2 linked regions of the Arabidopsis thaliana genome follow. The protein of the gene in region 1 interacts with the protein of each later gene in a biochemical or structural test. Each region holds a gene or a part of one and is shown on either strand. Other genes may lie near its edges.

What was found.
Region 2: the proteins of RAP2.2 (region 1) and SINAT2 form a complex in vitro, tested with the Arabidopsis thaliana proteins (one study listed by BioGRID).

The regions. Positions count from the first base shown.
Region 1 is NC_003074.8:4,736,553-4,741,082, forward strand, and holds RAP2.2 (uncharacterized protein), read right to left. Parts: upstream 2,585-4,530; 5' UTR 2,449-2,584; coding exon 2,148-2,448; intron 1,903-2,147; coding exon 1,064-1,902; 3' UTR 1,023-1,063; intron 921-1,022; 3' UTR 594-920; downstream 1-593.
Region 2 is NC_003074.8:21,486,597-21,492,082, forward strand, and holds SINAT2 (uncharacterized protein), read left to right. Parts: upstream 1-1,865; 5' UTR 1,866-2,099; exon of another isoform or gene 2,100-2,494; intron 2,495-2,924; 5' UTR 2,925-3,015; coding exon 3,016-3,234; intron 3,235-3,315; coding exon 3,316-3,702; coding exon of another isoform or gene 3,703-3,756; exon of another isoform or gene 3,757-4,168; coding exon 4,169-4,489; 3' UTR 4,490-4,922; downstream 4,923-5,486. Other genes in the region: AT3G58030 (RING/U-box superfamily protein), read left to right, coding at 1-241. UniProt on the Arabidopsis thaliana protein: E3 ubiquitin-protein ligase that mediates ubiquitination and subsequent proteasomal degradation of target proteins.

The sequences.
Region 1 (4,530 bases):
TAACTCAGTATACTCTTTTTTTTTTTTTTTAAAGTAAAATAACTTACTTCCAAAACAAGTGATTACGGTGACGACTCAGACTGTCATAGTGTCATAGATTGGAAAACTAGTTTTGGTTTCTCTGTTATCCATAGTAAAATGTTGTCTTATGATAATGGGAATTTCACGGTGTACTTGGGAAAAGAATTAGTCGCAAACTCGTTGATTGAACAATGAATCTTCATCTAGACAGCCTTAAGCCTTTAGTTACCCTACAGAATCATTTTGATGATTTCCAATATTTTCTTGTAAGCAATGTGGCCATGTGGGTGTATTATTATTTTTGTATTTTCATCAAATGGTTCACGAGAAAGTTTACAGGACAAAACTCAATTCTGTCTCATTTTTCCTTATTACCAGGCACGTTCTTTGTCTGGTTCGGTCTTGTTTCCTGAAGCTTTTTTAAATCTATTGTTTTCGAGGTGTACGAAGAATCTTTCTAATTGCTTTTAAAGTGAAAGTTGTTTGAATTATTCAAAACTAATGAATAAATAAGGCATATTTCTCAAAATCAATCAAGCAAAGTTAGGCAGAGAAGATTCATTGAACAGATAGAGAAGTTCCAAAGAGACTTTATTATAATGCTAAACAAGTTTGGGGGTACAAAACATTACACTTTCGAGGGTGATGATACGCTATAACAAAGATCAAAAAGAGAGCTCAGAAGACTAATAAACTGTCTTTTAAATAGAAAAGAAATACAAAAATGAAAGAACAAAACAAGACTTAATAGATAGATATTATTATACCTCTATTTACTTCATCACACCTTTTTTATTTCGACAAAATTAAAAGAGAAACTCTCTATGGAAGAGAGGCTCATGAGATACCAATGCATAGAGCTTGAGGTGTGACTTGTACCATCCCCCAACAGCAAAATCCTGAAACAACCAAAAAAGAACGACAGAAGATTAATCCTGAAACCAACACTTAGGTTGTTTGTCTTTACGATTCAACAAGAAGAGCTTGTAACTGTAACTCACCAACACAGCTTTATTTACAAACTAAGGAACCATCGATCACTTCAAAAGTCTCCTTCCAGCATGAAATTGATCTCATCTAAGCTCCATAGCTCCACTGGGTTTTCCTCTTCCTGAGTCACAGCACCAGCATCTGCGCCAAGCATGGCTTCCACTTCTAGTGGGGTGTCCCACAAGGCGTTGTCAAGGTATGCCATCAGATCGTCTGACTCATCAGAGTTTGGTTTGAGCTTCTTGGCTGCATTGGTTTCTTCAACAAATGATGCTTCGTTGTTATTGACAAGCATTGAAGAGATCTCGGGTGTTTTAGGGCCGTGATCACTCCACCCGAACTCAGAACAGTCGAAGGAGTTACTGCCCTGATCGGAACTGAAATACTGGTATCCATTGTTACCTCCAGCATCGAACGAGTTTGTTAACCCAAACTGATTGTTGTACATCTGAGGCTTCTCTTCCATGAAACTCATATCACCAAAAGAGTTGTCAAAGGAGTTGTTGCAGTACTGCTGACTCAGATGTGTTGGCTGCTGAACCAAAGTTACGCTTTTGTTTGGTTTAGCCACTGATTTCTGAAGATTATTAGTCTTAGCACTAGGACGTTTCTGGGATACGACGCTAGGGTTCTTCTCCTCGGGAAAATTCACCTTAGCTTTCGTGCCACGGATTCTGCGTGCTGCAGCATCATAAGCTCTTGCTGCTTCCTCAGCAGTGTCGAATGTTCCAAGCCATTCTCGGGAGCCTTTTCTCGGATCACGGATCTCCGCAGCCCATTTTCCCCAAGGACGCTGCCTAATCCCTCGGTATTGATTCTTCCTCTTCCTCTTAGAAGATTTCTCAGCTTGCTCAGCGGACTCTACAGTTTTCTTGGCATATGCTGAACCTACTGTAGCCAAACACACACAATATCAATCATAAGCTGAATAGAACAAACAAAACTGCATCCCTTCAGGAGCTAAGGACGGTAAGCTGGTATATAATCAACATAGTAACAGCAGATGGTTACAAGACCAGTGAGATCAACCAATTCCAAAGACTAAGCTATAAACTAAGAAAAGCCTCTGAAAACCTAAAGATCTAAAAATTTCATGAGCTTTCCAATTCAAATAAAAGTTGAGATTCGAATCAAACCCAAATATATACCAGTGGAGACGAAAGCGGAAGCTACGGGCTTAGTAGTTGCGGTGAAGACGAAAGGCTTAACATTGACGAAGACATCATCATCGTCTTCGCAGTCAAAAGCCGAGTCATCCTTAAACCCTTGGAAATCAGCTTCGAAATCATCGTCAAGATCGAAGAAATCGGATCGCTTATTCGATCTCTTCTTTGAAGCTTTCACTTTGTTTTTCAGATCCGGCCAGATAAACTCGTTAGTGACGCGGAGGGACCTCGGCGGAGGTATGAAATCGGAGATTATAGCTCCTCCACACATGGTGGCTTCACGAAAGCTCTACTCTTTTTAGGGGTGTAAATGATCAGAAATAGAATCTTCGGGGCGAAATAATAAATATTCGATTCTTTGGGGTTCTCTTTTTTAGTTTTTCTTCTTTGTCTCGATGTTACTCTCCAGAAAGAATGAGAAAGGGTGGGTCGTATATTATATAGATTGATTCTTTACTATTATACCCTTACCTGTGACTCGTAATGGCTGTTATGTGTTTAAGCCTTTAAGGTGATTTGTCATGGTTTGGGTGGCTGAATATAATTTTACAGTTTAGTGCTTATTATATAATGAAAAAATGCAATAATTGGTGTAGATTCTTTTGATGTTATCACTATATATGGAAGATAATCATGCAATGAAAATATCTAATTTTCATAATCCACTAGTAGATACTAGATAATCATGCATTGAACAAATGTTCTCATAATTAGCTAGTAGACCAAACGTGTTTTACAAATATATTGAAAAGCTATGTTTTGGTATATTTGATTATTTATCAACCCTTTAAAATATGTAATATATGGTTTTATAACAAAATAAGTTAATACAAGGTAAGTTGCATCCCAATGTTGTCATATTTGACTGTCCTTAGAAATGTCAAAACTCAAAAGTAATTTCCCAACTTTTATAATTGACGCTTTTTGAACATGAAACACGTACGAACGTTCTAAAGTTAGAACTAATTATTCTTGTGGTTTTCAGTTTTGCATGGTTTATGATCTGGAAGTCCAATACAATCGTCCGTTGTGAACCTTTTAGTGTGTAACAGGGAATGATTTATGTAAAAAGATTCTACACATTTTGACAGCATAGTTTATGTCAAAGAACAAAAATTCAAGGAAAAAAGAAGAAAAATTAATACACATCTTTAGCCATTATTAGCAATGACATCTTCCACGTATTAGGCTAACATATATAGATGCTTCTAGCTAGCAGTAGAAAAAGATAAATTTTAATCCCAGATAGTTGCCAACTTTCAAGTAAGTAAACAAATCAATCATGTGTGTTAGAATCGACGAGATTTGTTGAGATTTCAAAATAAATGAACCCCATCCCTAGATGATATTATCATGGAGTGGCAATATTGGAAATACCAAAAATGAGCTCATCTATGGGCGTGTTTGTGTTACACGGAGTTCATTGAATCTTGAGACTTGGAAAAGAGATAAAAGAAAGACAAGTTGAGCAAGTGGACTCTACAAGGCTTTGCGTTGCCCGAGTCCCACCTTGTTACCACACGCTTAAGTCTTAACGCACATCTTCAAAACTAAAAGATCATCAACTATTTATTGTTAATTGCATATCAATTCTTCTAAATGAAAATTGTCCGGTGTATCTTAACATGTTTAAGATACCCGTTAATCTTCATAGTTTTTTCGAAATCATATTCCGAAGAGTTGAAGATGGATAGTAGTATACGTTTGTAGTAAATCAATGTGTATATCTACAAAAGATAAAATAATACCCCCAAAAATCCCAAAAAAGAAATAAGTAGAGAAGATAAAGTTAAGAATGCAAAAGGAGGTAGGACCATTATCCTTTGGTACGATTGAGACAAAGCTCCAAAAATAGTTGATCTCAAGAAACAGAAGATGATGTAAGTTTTGAAAGCTACCCATCCGTATCCCTGCAATTATTTTTGTTTCCGTTATTAAATGAGCTGTAGAGTATAGACAAGCAAAATTTAAAATAACGAAAATATTTAGAAAAAGTAATTAAAATGAGCACTATTTTATTATTATATCTTATGCTAGGAAAATGTAAATGAAATTATTTTGTTCATTTTTGAATGGTAGTAGGTGATCTGCATCTAATTTTAGATGGCTGTAAAAATCTAGAAAGGTTCCAATCGAATATTTCAATCTCTCAAATCTAAAGGCTTTATTTAACTCCTAATCTGGTTGTCTGCCACTACCACCAGTTAACTACACACCTGCACTACACGTATCTTCTAGTTGAGGCTATAATCGAATCATCATTCTTTAACCCAATTTTATATTACTATCTAAGAATATACATCTATTTCTCAGCATAAAAGATTAGGGGGAACCCATCATTTTGACTTTGGCT
Region 2 (5,486 bases), about 17 Mb from region 1:
TCCGTTGGGGAGGAACCACCAAGAGCAAAACCATCATGCTCCTGTTGTGGTTGATGATAGAGACTCATTCTCAAGCATTGCAGCTGTTATAAACTCTGAGAGTCAAGTGGATACTGCAGTTGAGATCGATTCTATGGCTCTTTCGACATCGTCCTCGAGGAGAAGGAATGAGAATGGTTCGAGGGTTTCTGATGTAGACAGTGCAGATTCTCGTCCGCCTAGGAGAAGGAGATTTACTTGAGAAACATAAATAAGAAAAGCTTTCAACCTGGAAGCTGACGATGATGATGATTAAGAAGAAGATAAGAAGAAGATTGTGTAACTTTATTTTTCTTGTGTTGCTTTGTTGTAATTTGTTTTTGTATTTTTCTCGATAGGGATGGTTTTTTTTAATCGAAAATTTTCTTTCATCTTTTTTTTCTTCTGACGGTAAAATATCATAAACCTTTGAATCCAATATGGAATGTGTTCTTGATAACTATTCTTATAAAACAACAAACTTGAAAATTTTAATCGATTTCCAAATGATAATTAGATAGCTTGAAATTTTGTTGGATTTGAAAATCAGTAAGAAAATGTAGAATAAACTATTAACCTTTTTAAAACAAAACTTTTAGGCAAAATGCTAATTTTATTATTAAGTAACATGGTGTGTTTTTTCAACTTTGTAGACTAAAGCAAGTTAGTATATAAATCAGTTATGAAGCAACGTAACAATAAGACACTTTGGCCGAGTGGTTAAGGCGTTTGCCTGCTAAGTAAATGGGGTTTCCCCGCGAGAGTTCGAATCTCTCAGGTGTCGTATTATTTTTATTTTCTTTTCCTTGTCCCCTAACTTTTTTTTTTGACAGATTTGTTTAGAAACGATGATTATATGGTCGTAGAAAAATCCAATTTTTTTTTGAGAGTACATGTCACATGCGCACAGCGACATCCGACACGTCTATTATTTTCTGTTGAATCATCTCACTTCATATGGTTTTCTTCAACAATTATTTCACTTCTGATTACAACAAAAAAACTTATTTTTATACTATCATATGATATTTTCTTGGCAATATAAAAAAAAAAAACACCGCAAAAATACATTCACACGAGGGGAGACAAAAAATAAATAAGAACCCCCACAAAAACAGACATCTTCCACCATTTTCAGGCTTTCATCATTTATTAAATTATAAAGTTTCTTGGATTCTTGTTAACTTAAATATAAGCTGCCAAATATATATCAGCTTACACTTATAATGGTCCTGTTTTAATTGAATTTAACCTTAAATCTCATTGGAAAGTGATTGACAAAATTCAAAAAAATTATGAGGAAAAATGAAAATTTGAAAAGTGAAAATAAAATAAAAATAAAAACTCAAATGATGTGTGCGGGAAACGAGCGACGTCGCGTTATTCGATGCACGAACTCGAGCCAATAAGATGTTTTTAAATCTAAAAATGGCTATTAGATTCGTCATTACTTTTGTATTTTTCCACAATTTAAATTGACTTTTGCCGGAGATGTAACTTTTAAACTATTTTACTACTTCTTTTTGTTTTTACTCATAAAGATCACAAAGATTCACTCACAAGCGTATGTATATCTGAAGCAATTAAAAATGAGAAAATATTTGTCCTTTTACAGTTTTTGTTTTTCTTCTCTGTTACAAAAATGTAATTACATCTGAAAACAATACTAGAAAAAAGAAAGTAATCGAGCGTTGTAACGCACCATAATGGAGAAAATAGTAATACAATTATGAAGATAGTACAAAATCTCAGATGAAAATATAGTAAATAATTGTAATTAAATGAGATAAAATCAATTTCTAAAAAAAAAGTAAAACCACCTTCGTGAATTGTGATTCGGTGTTTTTAAAAAGTGGGGAATAAAGACAAAACAGAGACCACCACCATTAATGGCTTTCTTCACCGATACGAACAAGACAGGACACAACAAACTCAATCCCAGCCTCCTCCTCCTCCGTCTTCTCCCTTATTCCCTTTTCGTTTAATCCCCCAATTTTTTCAATTAATCCCTCCTTTTCTCCTCTTAATCTGAATCCGAAGCAACGCATAATCCATAACAAAGTCTGGAAAATTTCTTCCGGGTAAGAGAAAACTTCTTCTCTTTCTTTTCAATTTGGGGTTTTTTATTTTGAAATCGGGAACAAAAGATCCAGAATTACCTAATTCCGAAATTTATTATCGGGTTGGATTATCGTGTGACGACGAATCTAGCTTGCTTTTTGGGGGGGGAAATATAATTCTCGGAAGGTCAATTTTTTTTTTTGCTTCATTTTGTTGTCTTTGAATCTTTTGGTTTATGAATGGATTGTTTTGAAATTGTTTCATAGGTCAAAGAGACAAAGATATTGTTGAGATTTATGATATTGGGATTTGTATTTTTGAACACCGTTTCTCTATAGATTTCTGCTTTAACCTGATCCTTTTAATTGCAAAATTGTGAAACTTTGCTTGCACGATCTTTGTTTAGCTTTCACAGGTTAGATGCGTTGGTTCTTGTTCTCTAGTTAGATCTATTTTCATGTTTATCTCTGTTTAGTTAGATTGAAAAGAGAATAGGTTTTTGTTTGTTCTCTTGGAATTTTTCTCTTTTGATGTTTGATAGTCCTGTGATTGATTACTGTTTAACTGTTGAAGTCATTGGAATGTGCAAAGGTCTAGCTTTGTTCATAGCTTTAGGCCTATTGCTTTGTTTACCTATCTGAAAGTGCATTTATTGTTTTGCTTCAAATGTTTGATTATTTTATTTTATTCTTTGTTGCTTAAGAAGCTATAAAAAGTAAAAGACTTGATCAGCTGAACCAAGTATCTGCCCCTTAATCTACTTTTTTCCTTCTCAATATATCAACTATATGTATTAGCCTTCTCAATATAAGCTTGTATTGCTAATGATTCCTTTTTTCCTGCAGGATAATAAAGAGATCCATTAGGAGTAAATTATCTGACAAGAGAATACAAAGGGCAATTTCATTTTAGTTGAATTAGGGATTTGGGCTCGTCATGGCTCCTGGAGGCAGTGCTTTGAAAGAAGTCATGGAATCTAATTCAACGGGAATGGATTACGAGGTTAAAACGGCAAAAGTGGAAGTTAATAATAACAAACCTACAAAGCCAGGGAGTGCAGGGATTGGAAAATATGGGATCCATTCGAACAATGGTGTTTACGAGCTTCTTGAATGTCCCGTCTGTACAAATTTAATGTACCCTCCAATTCATCAGGTCAGTAGTATATGAGCTTGAACAGATTTGTAATTGACTAATTGCAATGTTTCATGTTCTAAATGTTATTTAATTCTACAGTGTCCGAATGGCCACACATTATGTTCAAACTGCAAACTGAGAGTGCAGAACACATGCCCTACATGTCGCTACGAGCTTGGTAACATAAGATGCTTAGCTCTTGAGAAAGTTGCAGAGTCTTTGGAAGTTCCATGCCGGTACCAAAATTTGGGGTGTCATGACATTTTCCCTTACTACAGCAAGCTTAAGCACGAGCAGCATTGCAGGTTTAGGCCTTACACTTGCCCTTATGCTGGTTCTGAGTGTTCGGTTACAGGTGATATCCCTACACTTGTCGTTCATCTCAAAGATGATCATAAAGTCGATATGCATGACGGATGCACCTTCAACCACCGTTATGTAAAGTCAAATCCACATGAGGTCGAAAATGCTACATGGATGCTTACGGTAAAACTTTCTTTCGATATGTTTTCTTCTTTTTATCAAAGGTTTCTAATTTAAAGTCTGATTCAGGTTATTTCTTCAGATGAAATTTTTATGCAGGTTGTGATTTTATATCATCATATGACTAAGCTTTTACATTCACCTTCTTTCGCTGTTATCCTCAACCATGAAATATTCCTGGCTTTAGCTCTTTTCTACAAAATACAGATTGGATTCTTTAGAAGGAACTATAGGAATCTCTGGCTCTGCTCTTTTATGCTATTTTTGGATTTCTATTTTGCCTATTAAATTTTGACCTTGAACAATCCGGTGCCAAACTCCCTTACTAGCTGCTATTCCGGTTCCCGCTTTGCTCTTCTTTGTTAGTCCAATTTTACGGTCTCCTTAAGTACCTACCATAGGGTCTCTTAGTCCCACTTTAATCCTCACACTTAAACTTGAATCTCAGTTACTAAAATTTTGTTTCCAGGTGTTCAACTGTTTTGGGAGACAGTTCTGTTTACACTTCGAGGCGTTCCAGCTGGGAATGGCTCCAGTGTACATGGCATTCCTTCGTTTTATGGGAGATGAGAACGAGGCGAAGAAGTTCAGTTACAGCTTGGAAGTAGGAGCTCATGGACGGAAATTAACATGGCAAGGGATCCCTAGAAGCATCCGTGACAGTCACAGGAAAGTCCGGGACAGTCAAGACGGACTCATCATCCCAAGGAACCTCGCACTCTACTTCTCTGGAGGTGATAGGCAAGAACTCAAGTTGAGAGTGACTGGACGAATCTGGAAAGAGGAGTAAACGAAAAACGAAAAACGAAGAAAAGAAGGAATCGATTGAAAAATGTTGTACATAAGAAGAAGCCTCGTGGAAGAGCTAATGATCATATGGAAGATTTGAAGTTTGTTGTCTGGTTTTAGTGTGGTATAATGGATTCTTCTCCAATGGGAATGAAGATGAGATGATGATAATGACAAATCTTCTATGATGAATCAGTTTGGAGGAGCCATTGTTACTATTTTGTGGCTGCAAGAACTATATTATCTCTGTATTTTTTGTTTTTTTTGTTGGGATTTCTTTTGTGGTTTCAGAGAATGTAGGAAAAAGTAAGACATGGTTTTGGCTATGTTCTTGTTGTAAAACCAAGTTCAAAACAGATTGGTGCACTTTTTATCTTTTCACAATGGTGATTTTCATTCAGTTTAGACTTGATATAGCAAGCTCGATGTTTAGGCATTACAGCATGATGACAACACGACAACACCTTACCCACATAGACACACTTTTACTCATTTGAGGAAAGGTAACTAACAAATATGAAAACCAAGCAAAATTTTCTATATCTACAACGTAAATATCTTTTCCTTTTGTTTTTCGTTTTTGTTGAATCAACTCTTTTTTCTATTGCAAAGTTTGATATTTTGATTCTCCATTTGTTATTCACCTGTTCATTCTCTTTTTGGTGCACGATCTCTTGGCTCTCAGAGTTTGTAGTTAGTCGTAGTTGTGCAATCATAGTAAGTGGTCTCATCATATCTTGTTGCAGAGAGAATTTAGACTTTGTGTTCTTCTTCTTAATGTTTTTGACTTTGTGTATGATTTTGTCTGGTGTATATATAGTTACTAAAACTCGTACGAATAGTTTCTTTTTCACATTGTGTTTCTTGTATGTCGCCATACAAAGCTAGATATCTCTTTCCCTGCAGAATAATACAGAGCACACGGAGACGGAGTACATATTGTTCAGCGCAAGTGAAACCTGGATTTGAACCTGATACATAAATTTGTTATCGTTTGG